3 linked regions of the Nothobranchius furzeri genome follow. The main gene of each other region encodes a partner of the protein of the gene in region 2 in a complex. Links are inferred from orthologs where the notes say so. Each region holds a gene or a part of one and is shown on either strand. Other genes may lie near its edges.

Evidence for each region.
Region 1: nme5 (region 2) and ropn1l share a complex: the UniProt entries of both Homo sapiens proteins name them as parts of the axonemal radial spoke complex. The link is inferred for Nothobranchius furzeri from reciprocal best matches to the Homo sapiens genes NME5 and ROPN1L.
Region 3: the proteins of nme5 (region 2) and dnajb13 are in contact, whole or in part, in a cryo-EM structure (PDB 8WZB), measured with the Mus musculus proteins. The link is inferred for Nothobranchius furzeri from reciprocal best matches to the Homo sapiens genes NME5 and DNAJB13. Residues at the interface, in NP_542368.2 of Mus musculus: Glu52, His53, Asn56, Met193, Lys199, Pro200, Lys201, Leu202, Cys203, His204, Phe205; in NP_705755.2 of Mus musculus: Thr156, Lys157, Lys158, Thr181, Ile182, Asp183, Arg185, Trp188, Arg189, Gly191, Thr192, Arg193, Ile194, Thr195, Phe196, Glu197, Pro281.

Annotation. Positions count from the first base shown.
Region 1 is NC_091747.1:57,001,861-57,010,232, reverse strand, and holds ropn1l (ropporin-1-like protein), read right to left. Parts: upstream 4,252-8,372; 5' UTR 4,114-4,251; intron 3,768-4,113; exon of another isoform or gene 3,646-3,767; 5' UTR 3,631-3,645; coding exon 3,500-3,630; intron 3,226-3,499; coding exon 3,102-3,225; intron 2,721-3,101; coding exon 2,559-2,720; intron 2,199-2,558; coding exon 2,023-2,198; intron 1,227-2,022; coding exon 1,112-1,226; 3' UTR 977-1,111; downstream 1-976. Other genes in the region: nup58 (nucleoporin p58/p45), read right to left, coding at 5,947-6,116, 7,761-7,859, 8,324-8,372. UniProt on the Homo sapiens protein: Functions as part of axonemal radial spoke complexes that play an important part in the motility of sperm and cilia. Important for male fertility.
Region 2 is NC_091741.1:97,226,313-97,234,750, forward strand, and holds nme5 (nucleoside diphosphate kinase homolog 5), read right to left. Parts: upstream 4,402-8,438; 5' UTR 4,190-4,401; coding exon 4,055-4,189; intron 2,247-4,054; coding exon 2,047-2,246; intron 1,755-2,046; coding exon 1,654-1,754; intron 1,570-1,653; coding exon 1,451-1,569; coding exon of another isoform or gene 1,432-1,450; intron 1,342-1,431; coding exon 1,264-1,341; 3' UTR 1,167-1,263; downstream 1-1,166. Other genes in the region: hnrnpaba (heterogeneous nuclear ribonucleoprotein A/Ba), read right to left, coding at 1-141; small ribosomal subunit protein RACK1, read right to left, coding at 5,181-5,246, 5,447-5,557, 5,748-5,888, 6,127-6,237, 6,397-6,492, 6,781-6,928, 8,130-8,301. UniProt on the Homo sapiens protein: Functions as part of axonemal radial spoke complexes that play an important part in the motility of sperm and cilia. Does not seem to have nucleoside diphosphate kinase (NDPK) activity.
Region 3 is NC_091750.1:48,861,109-48,869,334, reverse strand, and holds dnajb13 (dnaJ homolog subfamily B member 13), read right to left. Parts: upstream 5,671-8,226; 5' UTR 5,452-5,670; coding exon 5,384-5,451; intron 5,310-5,383; coding exon 5,206-5,309; intron 4,999-5,205; coding exon 4,837-4,998; intron 4,763-4,836; coding exon 4,614-4,762; intron 4,234-4,613; coding exon 4,120-4,233; intron 3,271-4,119; coding exon 3,157-3,270; intron 3,071-3,156; coding exon 2,994-3,070; intron 2,889-2,993; exon of another isoform or gene 2,812-2,888; coding exon 2,649-2,811; 3' UTR 2,574-2,648; downstream 1-2,573. Other genes in the region: dicarboxylate carrier UCP2, read left to right, coding at 1,176-1,301, 1,409-1,625, 1,703-1,900, 1,983-2,084, 2,156-2,336, 2,443-2,557; ras-related protein Rab-6A, read right to left, coding at 7,057-7,121, 7,851-7,917. UniProt on the Homo sapiens protein: Functions as part of axonemal radial spoke complexes that play an important part in the motility of sperm and cilia.

The sequences.
Region 1 (8,372 bases), on a different chromosome or scaffold from region 2:
TACTGAGAAGAAGTAATGCATCAGCAGAGGGCCCAAACGTGGTAATGCTGAAAGCTGATAGGCTGTGTGTATGAGAAATGGCAGACATCTTGCCTTTGATTGGATAACAGCAACATGACTCTTCCACTGCCTCTGATGTTTTATCTCCACAAACAGGAGTGGACTGGCCTATCTGGCATTCTGGCACTGTCCCGGTGGGCCGCTTAACCAAGTGGGCCACTTGCCCAGCTTGGGCCGTCCCAAACCAAGCCCCCGTCTCACATGCGGTTATAGAGACAAGTCCGCGAGCAGCACACACAACACCCCGTCCCTCCCCCCACATTTGGCGGGATAGACGAGTCGCGAGCAGCAACGTCCCCTGCCGAGGGCCGACGGTTCATAAAAATGCCAGGGCCAAATTTTGGTCCCAGTCCACCCCTGTCCAAAAAATAACACAAACCTGAATAGTGCTGCCGTGTGGTGGAGTTGCTAATGCTAACAGTTAGCTTCTGCTAGCCGAGATGCTCTCTGCTCTCTCCTGGCAGAAAAAAATGAACACAGCCCTCCCCATCATGAGCCAAGATGGGTGACTGGATGAAAGCTAATTTACAGTTTGACGAAGATCTGTGTGGCTTTTCCTGACCTGAGAGTTTCTCCATCAGCGGCTAATACAGGAAACAGGGGCTGAAGACTGTTGTCACATTTAGCATGCACGTGTAATTCAGAGTGACTGATCTTATTTCAAAAACAAGTACAAACAGTTTTGAAGTGAACTTGGTCTTTAAAAGGAACTTTACGGACTTTTTTTTAGAATTTTTATTCTCGCGATTGCCCCCTCAGGCCAAAAGTGTAACGGCAGCTTCAATAGTAGGCCCGTGCATGAGGACCGCATGCTGTACGTGCACACTCAACGAAAATAACAGCTGAGACAGTCCCGTGTGTGTGTGTGTGTGTGTGTGTGTGTGTGTGTGTGTGTCTGTGTGTGTGTGTGTGTGTGTGTGTGTGTGTGTGGCCCGGAGGACAGAGGACAGGAGAACGCGCAGCTAATTAATTAAATAATTTGGTTCCGTACCTTTCTCTTCAGCACAGCCGACAAAGGTTTAAGATGGGTCAGTCCTCCTGCATGCTCAGATCATTCCCTTACCTTGCTTGAAAAATTGTTCCAAAATGAAAGTTGAGCCCACATCTTTTTTATCTGTGAATTCAGTGCCGTTCGGCGAGTGTCAAATAAAAATTTGGGCATCTTACTGTAAAAAAAAAAAATATCATTAATGTAAAAAAGAAACTCTAAATAAACTATGTTCACACCCAGAATCAAACCCAGATCTTCTGCGTGGGAGTCAGACATCTTAAAAGGTGAGCTGCACTCTAGTAACATTCACAGTATCTGTAAGTTTTATATCCTTGATGACAGCTGAAACAACGTCAAACCAAAGAACGGTTGGGAGCAAAAATGGCTATTTTGTTGCTAATTTGCAGGAAATATCTAGAAAAAAGTAGCTAAGGGTCCTCAGAAATGTAGCTAGGTTCATCACTAGGCGTTAGGAACAGCGACAATGTCGCTGAGTTGGCACTACCTCACTCTCTGCTGCTAAAGCTAGTGATAGCAAATGCTACGGGCTATGCCTGAGCGTGAACGCGCATGAAGCAGCCTGCTCGACCCGAGCAGCTCTCTTTTTCTGTGATTTTACAGAAAAACAGGCAATCAGTAAAAATGCCAGGGCTCATTCTACAGGACCAGGGCATTGCAGGAGAATGTCTGAAGAAGACATTTATTATTTCTATACATGTTTTGGCTGTCAAACTTCCATGATGCCCCTTTAAAGAACATTTAGTGACTGATCAGTTTTTTTTCTTTCTGTCCTTTTCTACAGCGCTATGTGACCTCTTCCTGTTGCTAGCCTGTTTGTGTTAGACACAAACACCAGCGCATCAGTCAAATGTAACAAAATATTACAATTCTGAACATCACTACTTCAGATATTGATGTGCAAATTAATTTTGAGACAACACACACACACACACACACACACACACACTCACACTTGTGGTTGCAGACTCTTGAGAAAGGTCTGGATGTGGCTCTGTGAAACGACCCCGTCTAGGTGAGCCAAGTAGGTGTAAATCTGAACAAAAGTGTCGAAGGGGATCCTGGCAGCTCCACCTTCCTCGTCGTTTGTCAGGATCTCACAGGCGAACTTCAGGGAACTCTGGAGGTTCTGGGGGGATGCATTAGAGAAGCAGATGCAGGATTCTTCATGTTAAAGACAAGGAGACACGTTCTTTCTTAAAAAGCTTTGCATTCAGCAATAAAGAGACACAAGCAGCATCATTATGCATGCACATGCTCTGATTAGAAAAATGCTGCAAGTGTGGACCAACACTGCCCCCGTGTGGATGAAGGGCATTTATAGGAATGAATGTTCACTGAGGTTTATTAGTCTTTCTGGAGTCTGGGGGACCAAAAACACCTGGATTTTCTGCTCTGGCTGACTGATGGACACACGTGTTTTCCTGCTACGGTTCTCCAGCTGTTCTCAACCTTCAGGATTTATATTTAGCCATTTGTAACACCTCACCGCTCCTAAAGCGCTGCAGCCCAGAGCAAAAAACTCCATCCAGGTGATTTCTGACTCAAAGCTGCCCAACGACAGCATGCTCTCCAGCTGTTCCACAGGAAGACACAAGCCTTTCCATGTCCTCTCGAGTTCCTCTTTGCTGCATGTTTCCTTTGGGGACAGCTGCGATGAGGAGGAAAAAGAGGGAATTGGAGAGCTGAAGGTGAAATAATATCTATGTCAATGCCATTATAGCAGTCAGGGGAGAGTTTGTGGCCAAAAACTCAACATGTTTGTTCATTCTCTGAAAAACGAGAGAAGTCATTTGCCTTTAAGGAAGTTTTATTATGTAGTTCTTCACCAAATAGGCCAAAAAACGCTAAATATAGTAGGAAAATAATGCAGACACTAAATATCAGACATGCACAACTAAATGTATGAATAAATGTGGAGATTAAACACAATTTCTGCATTAAATTAACTATTTTCTCTTCTGTTCTATTTGAAATGTTTTGAATAAAATCTGTAGGAGCTATGATGCCTCTGCTTATAAATCCTGCTCACCTGCTTGTGGAGGATCTTCAGCAGACCTGGAGTCAGGCCAGTATCTGTCTTCTGGGTGGCAACATTCATCTCCAGCCTCTCTTTAACAGGGAGAGTGTCTCCATCAGCCAGCGCATGGAAATACCTGGAGAACACACAGCCACAGAGGAGTTGAGATGACCCTTTTCTTTTTAATTAGTGCATTCATTTATTTATCTTGTTAAGGGGAGTTAGTGTAGCCAACAGGAAAGCTTTTGCTGTCAACAGACACGAAAAAAGTGAAAGGTGCTTCTTTGTGTTATTATATTTGCATTGAGACATGTTTTTATTCACATTAATTAAAGAAAATATGTTATAACACAATTATATAATGATCCAAGCCTGACCCAAACCCAAAAATAATACAAATAGGGACTCACGCTGCACTCCATACGAGCACATCTTTGGGTTGTGTCCGAATGGCTGCTCTGGTGAAGTTTTTGAGGATGTCTGGCAGCTCGGGGGGGATCCTGATTTGCTGGGAACAATAGAGAACATCTGGAAGTGGCATGGCTGCAATTCAGTCCTGTTAGTGTACAGAACAATAAAGTTGATTAGATAACGGAGGAAATCCACTATTTTTCTTTTCCTGCATTTCTGTATAAATTCTTGCCTCATTTTTTTATTTTTACCCTGAAAGGCACTTTACAAATAAACTTTACTAACTGTAATTCTTTTGCAACTAGGTTAAAGTTCCCTGGATTTATTTTATTTACCAACATTTTTTTCAATTTTTATGACAATGGTAACCGATTCTGGTTAAATAGCTGAGAATTTAAAAAAATGATTTCCCTAACAAACTCACAAACAGGCTTTACAAAAGGCTACTTAAAGAAATCCTCACAATTTTTTGTTTTAGAACAATTTATGGCTGTTTATAATGTTTAACTATAACGAATATAGGTGATGTTTGTTGATCCATTGCTACAACTCCAAGCAGACATGTAACATTTAACTAAATAAATGTATTTGTGTCAACGCATCATAACATCACCTGATCCGAAAGAAGACGACTCTGAAAAGTAACTTTTTACCGAAAATACGTCCTAAAATAAAGGATGAGGAGCGAATTAAAAACGGATAAAGCTCGTTAGCTTCACAGGCTCCTCGTCGCATAGCAACAACTTTCTACTTCTGAGATAAAAATGCGTGCGTCACCAAACCGCTATCGCCCCCTGCTGTTCAGGACACACAAATAAGCGCGACGTGGGGTCGCGCTGTCGTAGTGGCTGGCCGCCATCTTGGAGAGGTCTCCAGTCACCCCCAGTGCATTTATTTCTACTGAGGAATGCTTACCGAACTAAAAAAAATACATTTTTTGCTAAATCAGACATGTGGGAAGGTATGATAGTTAAATACAAATAAAATAAAATATTAAATCCGAAAAGGTAGGCTAGAAAATTTATCCCATGTGATCTATTTTCAATGGAGCACCGGTTGTTGCAACTATAGGCTGCACAAAAAACAAGCATAGTTGCTCACCCTGTTGTATTTGAAGAGTAAGGAACCCACTCAATAGGGCAGCGACGCTGTTACGCTCTCCATCGCCCTATGAGACACCTACATATCCACGACTATGGTTCAGGTCTTTAGATCTCTAAACATTCAAGAAGTAAGCCAAAATCTCAAAAATATAAAATATTTCCATTAACATGGACCTTAATTATATTTTAGTTACGAAAAAATATATCTTTTACTAAAATTCTAACTTTTTCAGAAAATGAATGAAATGTCCTCCACATCTTCTTCCTACTGGGATAGAGGAGTCGTTTTATTAAACATTTGTAATAAAAATACTTCTCCACAAAACGTGATAATTTGAAAATGGAAAAATACAACAGAACTATTTTTACCAGCACATACATTTAATAATCTGGTACAATAAACTGCACCATAAACAGGCAAGAGGTTTTATTACTAAACAGCATCCTGAAAACACAGAAAGCCGCAGACTGGTTGGAAAACAACAGAACAACTACGAGTATCTGGTAACCAAAGTGACACGGACAGTTAAAAAAAGAAAACCTAAACCTCACCCAATGCTAAGAAAAAGCACGATGACCAAACTACAGGCACATTATACACATGACCACCGTTAACTTTCATACACTAAATAGTGCAAATCTGTTCGAACACGTATCACATGAGCAGGCAGAATGCGCTTGAGGGCAGAATCAACATATAAATGTCATCTATCCCAGGTTTGGTGCACAAAGAAACCATTAAAGATGACAAACCTGGACAGAAACAACATGGACATGACACAATCCAGACATTAGTCCTCTTGAACTTGTCCTGAATATCTTTCTACAAAAATATAAAGCTGTGCTTCCCCCCAAAACCCACCTAGGATGGGATAAGACATGCTGTTTTCAAACAATATTCCAGAAGTTTCTTCCCTTTACCCTTATTACTCTCCTCTGAACAGAAACGTGTGCATCGTTTAAAAGCACTTTACCGCAGCTCTGTGACGCAACACGACCAATTAGAGATTTGGGAATGTCAGCAAAATACTTTTTATTTCACCTAAACTTGTTTTAACCGGCACTCCCAGAAAGAATGAACTCAAATCTAAAACAAAAGTTTAGCCAGTGAAAACTGCTAACGATGGCTCAATCTTGTCTCTGTTGAACGAGCTCACAGTAACTTCAAATAGTCGTGGTTTGACATGATTTTATTTCATAATCGTTCCTCTCACATCCCTGACATTCTCACCATCACGTTTGATCTGTTCTATAATTTTACCACTTCTGTCTTTTTTTTTTTTTTTGAGAGAGATCAGACCTTCATCTGCTACAAGCTCAAACACATGTTCCTCTTCCCGTTTCTATCTCTTGCCCCTTTTATTCCCAGCAGGGGGCTTTTTCAGCTGGAGAAAGGGCGTTCCTGTGCCGAAGCCGGCAGCCGGTTGGTTGGACACCCCAAAGGTCAGGCCAGCGGACTGGTTGATGCCGGGGTTGCTGAAGTAAAAGCCAGAGTTGCTACTGCTACCGAAACCTAGAAAAAGGAAATAAACAAGGAAGGTCAAAAAAACAAAACAAAACTGGATTTTAAATGATTTAGGAATAAATAACTAAGCAGATGATTGCTACTTTGCTATGCTATTAGTCATGACAATATTATCAGAGGAAAAGTTGGCCTGCAGTACAAGAATGGGAAATATTGAGTATTTGCCCTTTTTTTTTTTTGGTCACATTTAAATGTTTAAGCTCAGCAAACACATTTTCGTATCAGAAAAAGCTAACCCAGGTTAAGGCCAAATGTAGTTTTAAAATGATGATTTAGCGTATTTAGATACTTGTTTTATTTCAGCCACATTTGAGGGGTTTTCCAGCCTGAAATGGCCTGTTTAAGGTCAAAGGTCAGACTTTCTCCTTCAGAATTTTCTGGTGGTGGTCCAGGCAGTTTCTCTCTTACCCCTGCAGGGTTTGAGTTATTGTTCAGAGTTCTTTTGCTTTTTGAGCTCTTTTAGCCTACTTTATGGTGGGTGGGTCCAAACTCAGGGGCTACACCCTTTGAAGGCCGATTATGTACGTCACTGCATCGTAATAAAAGCTGTCCAAATTCAACAACTCCTTCAAATGCAGCCCACAAATCCGTCTTTTCCCCGACGCGAGGACCGGTCCGGTGTATCCTCCAAGACGCATTTCGGCCCAAACGTTAGAATTTTTCAAATAACAGGTCGTTTTGGGGACTTTTGCTCCCTTGATACATAAAATCATTATTTGAAAACTGTTTATTTCTACTTAATCTTAATGTCTTTGATATTAAAATTTGTTTATTGATCCGACACATTTGTAAAGAGGCAAAGAGTTCTAACATCACCGTACACCACAGCCCAAATGTCAGCTGGTGGTCGAGATGCCAAAACAGACACCCGTAACATCAAAGGCAAATAAAGTGACTGATATTTCTAAATATTTACAGAAACTAAGGTCGTTTCTCAATGTGTGTACTTGTCTGAATGTGTACAGAGTACTTCGACGTTGGCCCAAGTACTCCTCCATTCCTAAGTACATATCATGGCAAGTATGCCCAAAGTTCCTGGATGTATTATAACGTAGCCCATTATATCGAGGACACATAAACGCTCCTTTCAGCAGACTTGAGCCAGCAAGGTATCCCATAATGCATTGCATCACAAACCGGAATGGACAATGGCAGAAGAGAATGTTTAGGAATAATTGAGTCTTAATAAATATAAAGTTGTCCTTTACTTTATATGATTCTGTGTAGCTTGTACATTTTGCTGTATCTTATTTGAGACTCTTCGCAATACCGCAAAACGTCAACTAGCTAACCCGCTATTTAAAAAACAAACAGCATTGCCTTTTAATTCTATTTCTGGTCCTCTATTTTTAACCGTAGCTTAAAGCAGCAAAGTACTGCTCTGGTCCAAACGCCGTCCTCGTACTCGGTACAATGGACTTTCTGCTGAACTTGCTAACAATGCACGTGGGTATTGAGAAACGGCCCATAACGGTTTCATGTTTATCTTGTATTGTGCAGTCCTTTAAAGGTTAGCGTAATATAAAAACATGGCCAAAATATTAGTGCCACATTACCGCTCTAATAAAGCCATTGTTTTCTTTAATATCTTTGTGATGCCAGGTGTGAGGAGGGTATGCAGCTTGTGTGTACCTGCACTCAAACTGCCTCCTGTGGGCTTACTGGTAGAGGAGAAGGCGAAAGAAGACCCCCCAGTCCCTACCCCACCAAACCCTGGCCCACCACCAAAACCTGTGAGAGAGAGCGACACGGATGTCAGACTGAGCCACGTCCACGGTCTACACTGGGAACAAATGCACAGAGCAGAGCTTCAGGCGTGCACACTGGCAGGCATAGGCAAGCACAACACCACGACCTAATGCATGGAGCTTTACACACATCAGCACTGCAGAGCAAAGCAAAGGCTGCACCAAACACCACCACCAAGGAAACCACACAAACACAACACACTCGTCCCACAGGAAAACCAGTCTGTTGTTTAATGTGCAACACACCAAACAACCACTTGTGAGAAGAGATCGAGGAAAAAAGGTGAATTCTATGACTGCACCATTTTTGCCCACATCCATTTTCAAAGAGCAGACTTTTTGTGCAAGAGATGCCAAAAAATAAAATAAATAAATAAAAAGATTCTTCAGAGGAAAAAGTAAACTATGCAAGGGGAATAAATATTCTTAAAAAGGCAGAGGTAGTACCTCCAAGGGTAGAAGAGCCCAAGTTAGTGCCTACTGCTGAGGCAAAGGG
Region 2 (8,438 bases):
GTCAGTCCCCGCACCTTGTCCGCAGTCAAGCTCGGCGCCGCCATCGTCCCCCTCGTCAGTGTGGCCGGCTCCGTTAAAATCATCGTCGACTTCATGGCCGTTCTCCGATGTTTCCATGTACTGTTGCTCCGCCTCAGACATTTTTCACTAATGCACCTAAAACCACACAGAAGAATTACCTAGTTTTTTGCACAATAAGCGCCGGTGTTTCCACAAAGCCTCGCCACTGACGTGGTGCCACTGCGTGCGTACCCCACCATTTTGGCCGGCGAAGCCGCGTACGCACGTAGCAGTACTTGGCCGCTTCCTCACAAAACCCGTTAACTAGACGCAATCTATCGTACACTTCTGCTGAAGGGCAGCGATTAGCAACGCTGTTGCCCTCTGTGTCACACAGATAAACCAAGGCTGGACTATGCAACTAAAATTCGCAGTTACGTAAGCTACAGACAAGAGGCCGTAACGGCACGAAATGTGGCCTCGTGACGCGGTTAACACATTTGTTCAACGTTGACCTGAACAAATATGGAGGGGCAACACAATACCGGACTGTCTAAGCGTCAGTCTTCTAAAACACGATCAAGCTATAAAAATATAACAGTACTTACTGGTCGCACAACCAGAGAGCTCTCTTCAAGATGGATTCTCCCACACGACGCCAACTCGTGGTTGGTTTTTCAGCACCGGTAGGGTGGGGGAGACAGTTCTGCCAAGAGGCAACGTGATTGGTTAAGGCAAGCTGTCAATCGCAGCATCACCCAATCACAATGCGTCAATGTCTCTTTCGTCCAAGTCGTTCACGCCTTCAGAACACAGGAAGGAACTCGATGAACCTTTTTTCAGCTGCTAAAACTTGTGTATTCGGTGGAGATAGCCACGCTGTCGATCAAAAAAATAAATCCTACAAACTGTCAGCTTTGACCCACAATTATTGCTTTTCACTCAGACTCCGGTGGGGTTTACTCCAGAGCAGCAGCACAATCTGTTTTGATGAATAAAATGGCCAAAACAGTGTTTAACGAACATGGTGTCTGTTTTAACCACGTAACCTCTTGCATTCAATTATTTGATGGGACATTTTTCACTGATTTAATCAATGATGCAAGATGAACTCATTGGAGAATAAGGCCTGAGATAATTATTATATAACAGAAAAATAAAACATGTCAACTGCTGAAAATCCTGTTTATTATTGTACACCAACAGACTGAAGAGTTTGTCAAAAGCAAAACCACTGAACCGACTTCCCTCCTTGTTTCTCCATCAGTCTTCCACAGTGTCCTTGTCGCATATCTGAGGCTGGTTTGGATTGTTTTTCAGAAGCCAGTCAGCTAGCCAGATCTGTTGAATACAAATATGCAGGACAGAAATCAACATGTTAACAATAACCCCTTCAACAGCAGATGAATAATATTTAATATCTTTCCTCACACTGAGCATCAGTCCTTACACAGGGGTTCAGAGGCTTTTCCTTGCAGAGTTCAGTGAGTCCCTTCAGCAGGGCTGGATTTACATACTGGTTCATGTATTCTTCTGTTTCACATCTTGAAGGAACATGTTCAGCTATAGCTACAGAAAGAGAGGATAAGGGATAGATCACAGTCAATAGTAATTACCTTTAAGAATAATCGCATGGGTGAGAGAGGAACATACAGTTTGGGAACATGAATTTGATCTCCCTCTCAGCTTCGTCACACGAGTCGCTGCCGTGGAGGGCATTTTTCAGCTCAGACGTTCCATATTTTGCTCTGAGGCTAAAGGCAGAATAGAAACTAAAGATTTACAGCTCAGACCAGTAGCACATTCACAAATGAACTCAAGGTGAGCACATAATATTCGGAAAAATGGCAGTGGGTTTTGTAGGTACAAAAGAAATATATCAGGGGAAACGGTATGCAAAAATTGTCGGTATGTCTTAATAAATTGGGATGTAAGTAGAAACCTGCCTCAAGAGGACATTTAAATCCTGAGTCTTTGTAAAAAGACAAACATTGATTTTACTACATAAATGCTTTTTTTCTACTGGCAGAAATATCTGCGATTTACCATTCTGGGTGGGTTTCTCTGGCTTTGGTAGCATTGGCAGGCCCTATAAGGGACTTCCAGTGGGCGATAGCATTGTCACGAGCCAGCATCAAGGCAACAATGGGACCAGAGCTCATGAAGGCCGTCAAACTGGGGAACATGAGTGTCTGGTCTGCGTAGAAGTCGTGGCATTGCTCTGGACTCAGCTGCAGCCTTCTCTTCTGCCACAGAAAACAGAGCAGTGGAGTGAGTGAACCACTGTGGTGGAAAATAGAATATAACTTCAAAAATATTAAGCTAGTTCAGACAGCTCAGATTTGTTTAAATGGACAAGTGACACTGTGAAGCTCTCACAGACATTATACTTCAACTTTTCATGAATCTGTCTAAAGCAGTTCTGTACAGTACTGCAATATCTGACAAAAATAGAACCAAGGGGAGCAGTAATTTCAATTGTAAACTGTAACAATGTTTTAGAATAGAATACACTTTATTAATCCCACTATGGGGAAATTAACTTTCTACAGCAGCGGCGCATATGCTTAGAAAAGGAAGAAGAAGAAGATCACAGGTAAATACACAAAGGTATTATTGTTAGCTTCAACAACTAAAAACCACAAATAAAAAAAGAAAAACTTGGATTCCAGAACTATGCAGCACAAGGGACACAGACATGCTGATGTACATCAGGTATTGCACAAGTATTGAACTCATACTAAATATTGCACAGATGTTATTGTGTAACAGGATAATGCCAGTACCAGTTGATCTCAGGAGTTTTACACTCTTACTGCTGAGGGGATGAATAACCTACAGCAGCTTTCTGTTTTACATCTTGAATGTCTCAGTCTGCCTCTGAAGGAGCTGTCCATGGCCTCCACAGTGGAATGCAATAGGTGGGAGGGGTTTTCCAAAATGGGAGGTCCTTTTGCCCACCATCCTCCATTCACATGTCTCCTCAACTGAAACTAGTTGGCAGCCCAGAAGCGAGCTTCCAGTCTTGGTCAGAGCTGCCTGCACCCCAACGAAGGTGGTTACATTCACACCGGTCCACAAAGTCCATTGTGACTGACCTGTACTCCAGGTCATTCCCCTCAGACACACAGCCGACAGTGGTTGAGTCATCTGAGAACTTCTGGAGGTGACAGTTGCTGGTTTTGTAGCTGAAGTCCAAGGTATAGAAGGTGAATAGAAAGGGTGAGAGCACCATACCCTGTGGAGCTCCAGTACTGCACACAAACACATCAGACATATAGTTGTGCAGCCTCACGTACTGTAGCCAGTTGGTGATAGTTGATGGTCCATGCAGTCAGATGTTCAACCACTCCTGCACCCCTCATCTTCTGCTGCAGTAGACACGGCTGTATGGTGTTAAAAGCACTTGAGATTGCTTTTTTGCATTTTGAGGTGAGCCAGCACCATCGACATATACCCAGTGCTGCAGGTAGAGGAGGGTGTCTTCCACCCCCATGTATATTATTTGGTGTGTAGCTGCACACATTACAGTTCACTGTTTTAGGTCTTCCACTAACTTGTCTATGCAAATTACTGACAGGTCATGGTCAAGAGTGAATGTGAAATTTCAGTCAAAAAATATAAGTAATCTGTAGTATTTAACATCCACACATTCCTAGATCAAATGGTTGACATGTTTCAGTTAACAGCAATAAGTATCTTTGAAGTGCAATTAGTAAAAAAAAAAAAAAAAAAAAAAAAAAGAAAGAAAAAAGATGTACAGAAACACCATGCAGACATTCACCTTTAAACGTTTAAAAGGTGTCTTAATAGGGTTTCCAGTAAAATTACAGCCCGTTACTGCCCTCTACTGAAAAAACTACGTAAGAGCCACACGGCCTCAAAAAGCGGTCACCTTTTGAAGCCATGAAGCGTAATATTTGAAACCAGATCGTAGGATGATCAATGGAAATCAGCGTTTATCGGGCATCTAAATAAATCTATTTTAATAAAAATATCTTCCTTCCACAAATATTGAAAACGCGCCTCTAGAAAGTAGGTGACTTCCACTCACCTGAAGTATACTGAAGCCAGATTTGACGATAACATTCTCAATCTCATCTGCCAGCTGAAACGCGTCTGGCTTAATGACGGCCAGCGTTTTCTCTACGATGACACGGTGATATGGCCTTTTACGATCCATCTTCATCTGAACGCTAAATGGCCACGAAATACGGCTCACGCAAAACTTGACTATGTAGCAGTAAACTAAACAAGGAACTCCAACCTGGAGCAGCACTCTGGGCTCGTTCTGTCGACTAGTTGCTAGGATACAATTACGGCGTCTGAAGTAGGACAATCCATGCGAATTGCAAACGTCAGTTGAACTTTCCAAATTACAAGCCCCAGATTTAGAAAACCACCAGTTAAATCAAAATTTTAATGACCGGTTGTCCCATGGTTTTTTTTTTGTGTAATTTTAATTCTGTATTCCATTTCAGATTAGCAGCCAAGATTTAATGTACAAGCAGTTATTTGAACAGTGTTAAAAAATAGAAATGTTTCAGACTTTAAATCCCATTTCACTTAATAAAAACTGGTCCAAGCTGATAGGGATGTTTCCATCCTCACAGCAGAATCAGTTCAATCTCCGCTCAAGTGAACTTTTGCAATTTGTTGTTCCTAAGGTTCGCAGAGCTGGGAAAGTCGGCTTTTAGCTTTGCTGCTCCATCAACATGGAATTCACTACAAAAAGATCTAAAAATCAAGGATTTGGTTTCCTTGAGTGGATTTGACTGATTAGGTCACTGGAATCCAGACCATCAGTGTGTTTGTTTTAATTGAGTTTATGTGGAAATGTATTTAAATGTGAATGTATTAATTTTGTAACTTGTGCTGCTGCTCTGTCCGTCTTGGCCAGGTCTCCCTTGCAAAAGAGATCTTGTATCTCAATGGGACCAACCTGGTTAAATAAAGGCAAAATAAGTAAAATAAATAAATACAGAAACTTAGTTTTCCCTAATTTTTCAATCATTTTTTCACGTTACTGTTGATCATTGTTTCAGCAGATTTTTTTAAATCGATGTGATCGATGTTCCCTTTTGATAAAAAACAATTTAACAGTCAAAATTAAATACAAGATCAAAACATTTTATTTTCAAAGAGTCTCTTTATTCAAAGCTGCATTAGCAAGGCTGTTCTTATCGTGTTCCAATGGTGACCTGCCACACTCTGATCAGGTTGTCAGTGTAGCCAGCAAACAAGGTCTGTTGAGTAAAAGAGGAACAGAAGTTAGCATCCATAATAGCACGCTTTTCAAAAAGGCTCAATCATGTGAGTGGTTCTCTGGTGCCCCTCATATTTGCAGGACTGTCAGCAGAATTAATCAGAGTTAAAAGTGAATGGGTATAATCACAGGGGTCACAACAGAAATCTGCATTTAAAGGTCCTCCAGAGAGTGTCGTACCTGTCCATCAGCAGACCACGCCAGGGAAGTACACTGTGGCGGTTCTGCCTTGCTGTTCGTGCTGATCACTTCCTGTTTCAGTTCATCCACAATGATCTTGCCCTCCAGATCCTGAATGAGGTAAAAGAGAACCAGAGTGATGGTATCTCTAACCAAGGTAATAAGTAACATACCTGAATTTATTGACATTCTCTATTGGGTCGGAGCTCAGAAACAGCCTCTGATATCATCAAACAATACAGCTAACATTTTAAATTTCATCACAGTCCTCCTTGATAACATGTTTAGCTTAACATCTTACCCAGATCTTGATGCTGGGGCCGGTGGCGGCACAGAGCCAATAACGGTTGGGGCTGAAACAAAGGGCGTTGATGGTGTCACCACTATCCAGGGTGTACAGGTGCTTGCCTTCATTCAGGTCCCACAGCATGGCCTGGCCATCCTGAACACCAACAGAAAACATTCTTCAGTGATTACATCGCAGCTCTTAACACGATACCCAACCCCACAAACGGGGATCGTGACAAGTTCAAGTCGTGCTCAGAAACAGCCTCTATTGTCATCATTTTAAAACAGATGTATGATTAATTTTCCATCATTGCAAAAACTTGTCCGTTCACTTAAAGATTCTAAAAAAGAACATTTTACAGAAATCTACAATTACTGGAAGCAGATGTTACCTTTCCACCAGATGCACACAGAGAGCCATCAGGGGAGACGGTCACTGTGTTCAAATAGCCAGTGTGACCAATGTGGTTGGTCTTCAGCTTGCAGTTGGCCAGGTTCCACACCTGAGAGGCATCACACCCGAGACAGAACAAACATCAACATCCAACATGGAAGCTAATCATAAAAAAGGTTGTCTTACGCAAGTAGTCAGCTAATAAATGCAAACTAAGTTAAACCATCTAACCAGGACCAAACATTAGCAAATTACTAGTAAACCATACCTTGACCACCTTGTCCCAGCCACAGGAGACAATGATGGGGTTGCTGCTGTTGGGGGAGAAGCGAACACAAGACACCCACTCAGAATGGCCTTCATCCTGCAAAATCAAGTTTGAACAGTTTAAAGTTCAGCTCATCCCAACAATGGCTCACTTTAGCTCATGTAACCACCGAGACTTATTCCATGATCCTGACACACTACACACTTAAAACCATCATACAGATTTAGTCCACAATGCTCCAGCTGATGGCTGAGCTGTGTGCTCTACCTCAGAAAATGTAAAACTAGTTAAAAAAAAAAAAAAAAGCTTGAACAAAAACTAAATGAAAACCAAAGAAGGAACAGCTCTAAGCAGCAGCAGCAGCAGCATTAAGTGACAGCTCACCTGAATGGTGTACTTGCAGACTCCAAGAGTGTTCCACAGCTTGATGGTCTTGTCTCGGGAGCCAGATACAATCTGACGGTTATCAGCAGAGAAAGCCACACTCAAAACATCCTTTGTGTGTCCAACAAACTGACGGGTGGTGGTGCCACTAGAAAAACACAAGATTAAGACGTCCGATTAGAATAAAGCTATATTAAGTTTACAGTTTAAAATGCCTGCCCTCCTCTACTAATTATGGCCTCTACAAGCTACAGTCATTTAAGGAGTTAAAACAGTTTTTTTCCCCACTTGTATTCAAACAAATCACTTTAGTACACAAACCTTAATGCCGATCAATGACAATTTTTTTTAGGTTCAGTTTATATCGGGTTCCAGCACTTTAGCCAGAATCAAATTCCAGCTCCTCACTTAGATGATTAAAACTGTTCAAACATGGACTGTAGTTTTATTCCTGTATAAACCCCAAACCCATTTATTTAGATCTACTGTTCTCTTAAGTCACAACTAAGGAGTGTATAAAGTGATGAAGGTGTAGTAAGGACAATAACACTGTGGAACAACAGTGTCGGGTACAAGAAACTGGGAGAATTTATTTTATAGGATCTCTGACAAACATTGTAATTGTATATAACTGCATTTTTAAATGTCTGCTGTTTATTATTTAGTGCGAGATTACTGAAGTTCTATCTGTGGTACAAAACACTAGTATAAAAAGCTGTTGCACGGTCATGTACACGCAAATGAAGTTTGTTCACCAAGATTGGGTTTACACATGGTGTAGCTTAACTAGATGTCATTTCCCAACTGTTTTATGGCTTAAGTTATGTTCCCTGGCAACTTGGTATTTAGAGGTCATAAGTGCTGAAATGTTTGTAGCTCTAGTAACAAATACGCATTAGCGCGGACTGTGTGTTAACATCGGTTCAAACACATTTTCATTTATAGAACAAAGGTGACAAATCATATCTTTAAAACTATCCAGGATGTTTGTTACAACTTAAATTTAGAAAGGACATACTTCCAGCTAATACAAACATGCAAGTCTTTACCAACTTACTTATTTCTAAAAAGAAAAGCATTAACTAGTTTAAACTGTGTTCCACATAGATGCTTAGATGATGCAGATCAAGGGTCAGCAACTTTTTTCCTTGAGGGGTACCATCCTGCAAGTTCCACACGTTTCCTGCTCTAAAGGACCCAGATTAACTGATTTCATCACAACCTTCCTAAGTTGACTTCTCTAGATGCTCTCACACATTTAAATATGTTGGGAGCAGGTAAACGGGTAAAGAGATATATTTACAGGACAGCGGATCTGATGTAGAAGCTTTCTTCCTAGCTGTACTTACGTGGTGAGGTCCCACAGTCGGAGGGAGCCGTCCCAGGCGCCTGAGAGAGCAAACTGTCCATCCGAGGAGATGACAACATCACTTACAAAGTGAGAGTGGCCCCTCAGAGAGCGCTGAGGGATCCCATAGTTGGTCTCGTCACGAGTCAGCTTCCACATGATGATGGACTTGTCTGAAAGTTTAACACATAAGGTTCAGGACTCAGGAGTATTGCCTAAAGCAAAGAGCAGGTAGGTAGCATTAGCATGCGAAGCTAGCACTTAAGTTAATATCAAGTTAATATCACATTGCAGCGCTTGGTTCAAGGCC
Region 3 (8,226 bases), on a different chromosome or scaffold from region 2:
ACAAACACAGCTGAATGCAAACAGCATTGTTAAGCTTTAAAAAGTTAATTTACAAAAATAATGATTAGAAATATAAAACAGAACATCCCAGCATTATTGTGTTAATGCAGCGAAGAGCCTGATTAATGAAAGCAGGAACCCTGAGCACCAAACCTGTTCTGACTGGTGAGGTGATTACTGAACACATGGCTCTAATTTGTTGTTCAGTGGACGCTTTGCATGTTCAGCATGACTCAGCTTTTGTCTAATAATGCACAATGGATGCTCATAACAAACGACCAACTTAATAAAAGAACTTTAAGGTGAAAAATTACAGTTTTAGTTTATTTTCACAAGACGAAAAAGTTTTGTGTTTAGATTCTAATTTTCTTACTTAAGTCAGAAAAAAAGAAAGATTTTTCCAAACTCTGCATCAGATAATCAACACTTTTACAGCTTTTATTTCAGTAGATATCTTCCTGTTTGACCAGCAGTGCAGCCGGCATGAGACTCCACAGCAACATCCTGTTATGCAACAGCATCACAGCCGTATTTAAAGAGGCAGCTCTCTTCCTCCTGCCCTCTCTCCATTCACCCCCAGATTCAGGGATCGGTTCAGATATTTTCCCCTCCAAACAGTTTTTAATCCTAACAAATCAAATTACGGTAATACTAGATTATTTGAAGTATTTCTCTTTCTAGACTTTTTCCCTTAATGATTTTTCATTTCACAAAACACAGATTTTTGGAGGTTTGTATTTGTTTTCCAGGATTTGGAGTATGATGTTAGGGCTCACCGCATCTGGAAGATCTTCTATGGAAAAGCAAGGAACCAAGTTTATAGCTGGGACAAAGTTCAGCCAAAGGGACACCTTCAGAGAATCCTCATCTTTGTTCCAGTTGTAAATCTATTTAGGTAAGAATTGCATTTTCTATTTGTGTGAATGTGTGTTTCTTAAAGCTGCAATTAAAGCAGAAGTTAAAAGCAACGAGTAAAAAATGTCATTTAGATAAACAAAATAAGTCTACTAATTTATCGTGAGTCAACTTTATAAAAATACATTTTCACACAAAATACAACAATCTTTGCACGTCATGGTTTGGGTCTTTATTTCAGGTTTTGGAGGAACTTCTAGTCCTGTCCATATAAAAAATCCATATCTGGAAGTTTGTTGTTGAACAAAAGAAGTTTGGAAATGGTTGGATTTGGACCTGCAGACGTGCCTCCATCAGCAGCAGTAAAGTTTGTAGGAGCTGGAGCTGCAGCCTGCTTTGCTGACCTGCTCACCTTTCCACTGGACACTGCCAAAGTACGACTGCAGGTAAATAAAAGCATAGCTTCACCTCCTCTTATGAAGAACATTTTTGTGACTCATCAATGATCTAATTGTTTTTTTTTTAAACTGAGTTTCTTTTATATGTTACAAAGATCCAAGGAGAGGCCAGCGCGCCATCAGCATTGGGGAAAGTGGCTGCAGTGAAGTACCGTGGCGTTTTCGGCACCATCACCACCATGGTGAGAACAGAGGGACTCCTGAGTCTTTACAGCGGACTGGTGGCAGGACTCCAGAGGCAGATGAGCTTTGCTTCTGTCCGAATAGGTCTCTATGACTCTGTCAAACAGTTCTACACTAAAGGCTGTGATCGTAAGTCGATGCTATAAAAAAAATCCATTTGTGGAACTTTGCATTAAATTCGGCATCTCTCTCTCTTTGACGCTCAGATGTTGGCACTGGCAGTCGGCTGCTTGCAGGATGCACCACAGGCGCCATGGCTGTTGTGTTTGCTCAGCCCACAGATGTAGTGAAAGTCCGATTTCAAGCACAGGCCATGTCTGGCAAGCATGCTAGACACTACCATGGCACTATTGATGCTTACAGAACCATTGGTAGGGAGGAGGGCATTCCTGGTCTGTGGAAAGGTGAATTACTCCAAAAACCTGAAGTCTCTTTTCTTCATCCATGAAAATAGTTTTTTTGCAATCATACACCTCTTCCACCCAGGTACAATGCCGAACATCGCCCGCAATGCCATCGTTAACTGCACAGAACTGGTCACGTACGACTTCATTAAGGATCTACTTCTCAAGTCGACGCCTCTCACAGGTAAGTCGTAGACCCAACACGACACAGACGTGTTTGAGTCCTGGACGTAACCTTCAGCCTGTACCCCACAGACAACCTCCCTTGCCACTTTGTGTCAGCCTTCGGCGCTGGTTTGTGTACAACCATGGTTGCCTCTCCCGTTGACGTGGTCAAGACAAGATTTATGAACTCGGCTCCTAAACAGTACAGCAGCGTCCTCAACTGTGCTGCCGCCATGATGGCAAAAGAAGGCCCACTGGCCTTTTATAAGGGGTAGCGCAATAACAGAAGAATGTTAAAATCTTTGAGAGAGATAATTCAGACGAGTCTTTGGCCGTTTGCACAACTAAATCTACATCTGCTCTGTTTTGTCTTTTAGCTTCATGCCATCTTTCTTTCGGCTGGGCTCCTGGAACGTGGTGATGTTCGTAACTTATGAGCAGCTGAAACGAGCCGTCATGGCTGCAAGTCACAACCACACCGCTGCATTATAATCAACAACAGCACAACTGCCTTGTCAGCATTCTCTTTATATTTAGTCTTCATTTAACAAATGTTGTCACTTTTTTAGACGTAAATAAAACTTTAGTCATGTGTGGTGCCAAGAACTTTTTGGATCAGATGTCTTCTTTCAGCAGAGAGCATCTTTGGAAACTGAGTGTCAAAAGTAAGGACGAGGTTTCCTCTCTGCGACGGATCCTGGGGCAACGGCATTCCTTCTCCAGCCACCACTTTCTCATATGTAGGGCTGGAATGTTGTGACACCAAAGAAAGTGAAAAGTTAGGGTAAACAATGCAAAAAAAAAAATAAAAACTGTTCAAAAATTGTCCTCCAAATCTCTCGAGTGTCCAGCTTCTGATGTAATCAACATGTTTAATTAATAGAGTACTTTTTTAGTTAATGACTGGAGCTTGGAATTCCCAACTTACTGTACAATGTCATTGATGGGAATGTTGAGCAGCCTGCCATCTAGTGTCGGCACATTCACAGAAAAGCCGGTTAGAGCCTGTTGGAAAGGAAATCGCCTTCCAGCTCCAGTGTTTATTGCCTTTATGTAATAAAAATCAATTATAAAACATCACCATGACTCACCATCATCAGAGAGATCTGGGTTTTGTAGATAAGGTCATTGTTTCGTCGTACAAAAAGAGGATGACTCTTTTGTCTCACGGTGAACACGATGTCTGCCGGAACACGGTTAAGTCCCTGATGGTAAAAACACAATTAGAATACAGATGTGACCGAGCGTAAGGCTTAGACACCCACAACCAGAACCCCAGGCGGGTCTGGTTATAATAAGGAACCAAGGCAGAGGTAGAGAAAAACAGGGCCTTTATTTATTTCTGTTCGGACTTCTTAAAAACAGCTTGTACCTGAACGTAGATAAAAATGAACTCAATTGAGCAGCAATGACAAGCTAACAATCAGAAAACAAGGCCCACAGAGAGACTCTAGTAGCCACCCTCCACCTACCTGTGACTAAAGCAAAACCCTTCAAACCAGCCAAAATCTCACAGCAGCATGACAACCATGACAACCACCTCCCTAACAGACCCCCTGGTCTGCACACCTTTTTATAATCAGCCCATCAAGGAGTGGCTGAGATTGAGCTGAGACACATTCAAGGGCCATTCCTACCGTGAGAAATACTAAAACACCACCCACATATCACCGGGATGACCAGTTACCTGGTTACACAGATTAAATACAGAGTTGGCGTTTAATGTCATTAGATCTAATGAAGCTAAAAGCATCTGGATGTTCTGACATGAGTCAGCGATGTTCTGCTGAAGCCAACAAGTGAAAATGATTTATTATTAATGGGAAGGAATAGAGCAAATTTATTTTTGTTAAAATGCTGAAATAGTCGTTGGTTTTTAATATGGAAATCTATGAAAAACAGCAAATGACAAAAACAAAATAAAAATGTATTTATCAAGGGTGAAACAGGAAGGTTAACTGAAATTAGAAACATCCATTTAAATTTTCTGGCATTCATTTCACAGCTAATTTTCAATCATTTAAAAAAATGTTAATTTTTCACTTTTTTCCCACCTGATCTCCTTCTTTGGGGAATATGATTCTTGTGCCTTCTTTCCATCCACGTTTCACTTCTATAGTCAGAATCTTTTCCTGGATTTCAGAAGATTGTCCATCTTCATTTATAACCTGGAATGCAGTGTGTAATGTTTACAAATTCAACATAATAAATAGATTTTTTTTTTTTGTTATTTGTGGGATTGTGTTGCCTAGTTCCATGCCCAAGTAATCTGTGGCTGGTCTGAGGCCCCAAATACATCAACAGAACAAAACATAAAGATCTAAATTTCAGAAAACAGCAGCAAAAAACTCACCGGAAATTGTATTTTGTATGGTTCCATTTGTTATGTGAAGTTTTATTTGCTTTGTGACATGTTGTGTATTTTAGTCTTAACCGCTTCACATCAATGGACAAGATAAGTACTCAGTCTAGGATGTATTAGTGATTTAACCACATGGACTTCAGGCAGATTAAAATCATGGTCTCTGATAAATAAAGTAGCTTCTACCATGCGGGAGAGCTGGATCTTTTTTATGCATCCGAGGTACAAATCATCTAGTGACAAGAAAATATCTCTCTCTATCGGAGAATCTTGAACTTTCACCACTTCTGGATGCAAGCCACAGAGCTGAAGCGGCGATTCGATGGTAAGAAAATCTAAAAGAAAAAGAAAAACTTTATAAATGCAAGTCTGGGTTAGAAAAGGCACAGTGGTTAGTATTTTTTCTCACCTGCAAATGGGTTATCTCCTCCAAAAAACTGTCTGAATGTTTGTTCTGGATTCCCGTGGTAGGCATATTTTGGAGTCCAAGCTCCATCTGTGCAAAACTCAGCCGGGGCACCGTCTTTTAGACCCTCTTCACCAAAATGATCATAAATCGCCTTCTTTCGAGCTTTCACAAAGACAAAGCGGGATATTGTTGTATGTTGTGTAAATATTATGAAAATATTCTTGATTTATCCTGATTGAAATAAATATTGGATCTGTGTAGAGCATGTTACGCATTTCCCACGAGCTTGTTACTATAGTCTACATAAGACGTGTTCGTTAGTTATTTTCAGCATTTTGTTACAAAAACAAACAACCCGAGTCACACTACCGTCGCTAAGAACATCGTAGGCTTCACCCAGCTGGGCGAATCTCTCAACACTTCCGGGTTGGCTGTTCCTGCTGGGATGAAACTTCGGCGCGAGACGTCGATATCTGAAGATTAATATTAAACATGATGAACAAAGTAACAAACCCGCAAAAATAAAACATTTTATAGTCAAACTTACGCTTGTTTGATTTCTGCATCTGTTGCGTTTCTGTTTATTTCAAGCGTATCGTAATAGCCGTTAATCATTGTGAGTATAAATGCCAGCTAGCTGTGTTAACCAGTTTAGGGTTCAGCGCGTTTGAGTTTCTATGGTGACATCTCGGGAAACTCTCGCGAGAATAAAAAAAAGTGTTCTGGTCGTAAACATAACTCACAAGCCTATTTAGGTTATCATACATATAGCTTAGCTTTGACAAATTATTTCTATTTATTAGCTAAATTAATCACAATATTATTAAACTGACCGGCTTTGAAAAGCCCCCCCCCCCCCCCCCCCAAAGTTCAAAAACACATTTAATTATTGAAAAGGTTTATGAATGTTTCTCATAATTCACACAAAATCTGTTGCAACACCTTTTCACATGACACAGATCAACTCCAGCAGTGGAAACAAGAGTATATCTATTTATTCTTTCAATTAAAACCATTCCAGACAGAAACGTTAGGACTACTATGCTATACGTATTGGACTCTCCTCCATAAGTTCACACAGAAAAATTGCACAATATCATCAACGTGATCGAACTCCCGCTTCAAAGTGACAAACAGCAGACCCTCACCGACGACGTAAAAGGTGTCCAGAAGGTGAATGCATATCTTAGTAGATTTGGAAATCATTACCATGAAGAGGCAATATTAACAGCCATAAAAAAGATGCATGAATTCAATAGAAATAAATACTTCAAGTCATTGTGGATTAAATATGTGTGCTGACTTATCACTGACAAAAGATCAACAAGTAAAAACAAGCAGAATAAAACAAAGCTCAGAAAGTTTGTTTTCATAAATGGTTTGAAAAGTAAAGACAAGGAAGCCCTCTGCGGGTTTACTTCTCATCAGTGATGTTCATGGCGGGTTAGAAGAGATAATCCTTAGACACCAGCAGTAAAAAAAAAGAAGCTGTAGTCTGGTACTGTAGCTGTACTCTTTAGGGGGAAATATCAGCACAATGCTCCAATTAAGAACAGAAAACTAAATAAAAAAGGTGTAAAAAGCAACAAAAACTAGTTTTAAAGAAACATTTCAGAGGATGTGCAGGACAGTTTGTAGTATGGCCACACACTCAGGTGTGTAGTAGATTCAGTGTCCACTAGCCCATTTTAATAAAAAGCATCTCAGTACTGCTGTACGTCTCTATTCGGAACATGTTGATTAACTTAAATGAGCCTCAGATTATTATTATTTTTATTTATTTCAGAAGTTAAAATAAAATAATTCTTGTCAGTCTGTTTCAACTGGAATTAGTTAAAATGATGTTAGTTGACAAATTCTACAACACCCACTCTGCTAATTAAACTTAAAGGAATATTTGTGTTTTTTGCCATCATAAAAGAAAAAAGCACAATGCAGAAATTTTTAGTATTTAACTGCTTGGGTAAAAAGGGAGGCAAAGATTTTCAAGACCAAATAACACAGAGCAACTATCTTCACCTGAGGTGAACAGAGGTGGCAGGTGTGAGTATGGTTTTGTTACAGTGCAAATGTCAAATTGTAGTGATATGTGGCTTTCAGAGCATCCCGATGAGACGGCTTTAGTGTTGTTAGGCTGGGGAACTGAGGCAGGTGTAGTGGAGGGTATATACAGAGAAACGGACCGGGTCTCAGAAAAAGCCCCAAACTAAGATGAGTCCATTAGCAGGAACAGCCTCCTTCGCTGGCGGACTGCTCGAGCGGTTTCTCCAACTTGATGTCGATCACTGAGAGAGTTGAGAGTTAAAGACAATAACGTGAATCAAACATCAAAACTGAACCTTAATGAAACCACTAGGTGTCAGAGTCACAGAAGTCACACACGTCCATTGGCAGATCTGCCAACCTTGTCAACATTTTTGAGAACCACATGCGCAACGGTTTTTTTTGTTGCACTTTTGCAACTCTGTTGCTTTCCATGCTGTAATGTCCCCGTTCACTGGCTGGAAACATCTTCTTGAATAGTTTAATATTAAATAGTAAAACTCAAAAGTTGCAGTAGATTTAGAGCTCAGCCAATTCTGATGGTCCTCATTTGCTTTTTGTAATTATTTAATCTCTTGTTCTCGTTAAAAAAATAAATGGACAAATAAATAAATATTCACATCGGCAAGCCATCTCTGAGGTGACCCATAAGCAGGGTTGGTACAATTACTTCAACAACTGAAATAGCTCCAGTTTCAAATGTTGATTTGCACAAATTGGATGTTTTAACGCATGGAGGCTGCAATGTTAACAGCTGAAATAGCAGGAAATAATACAGTTGACTAAATAAAAATTCCTCAGCTGGATCACATGTGCTTTTGGGTGAACAGATCTAAAGTGTTATGAGGGTTAAATGACTAAAGCAGATGTCATAATGCTACGTTAGACTTTCCCCATGGCAGAAAATATTAGAATGATTTGATATGACATGACCTCCCCATCATGTCAGACAAAGATATGCAAAAGGATACTGTCCTCTCTGCTCTTGTCCTGTGTGGTGTCCATCCCAGGAAGGGCAGCTGCCACACGGCGAAACAGCTGCAGGTAAAAAAATAAAAAATAATTCTGTCAGAAATATTTAAAAAAAATATGATTAAAAAAACAATAAAACATGCTTGTGTGCTGTGTGTGAGCCCTGTTCATGATAAAGCATACGTTCAAATAAAGCTTGCACACAAGACATCTCATCAGAGCTTTGTCCAAAGTCGACAACTAGAAAAACAGCTGGCGTTGGAGACATGCTTTGTATGAGAGCCTTGGGAAAACGAGGTTGAGCTACTCAGCGGGAAAAAATATTTTAAATGACTGATGGATCCTTGTTGGGCTACAGAAACATGCTAATCCTCC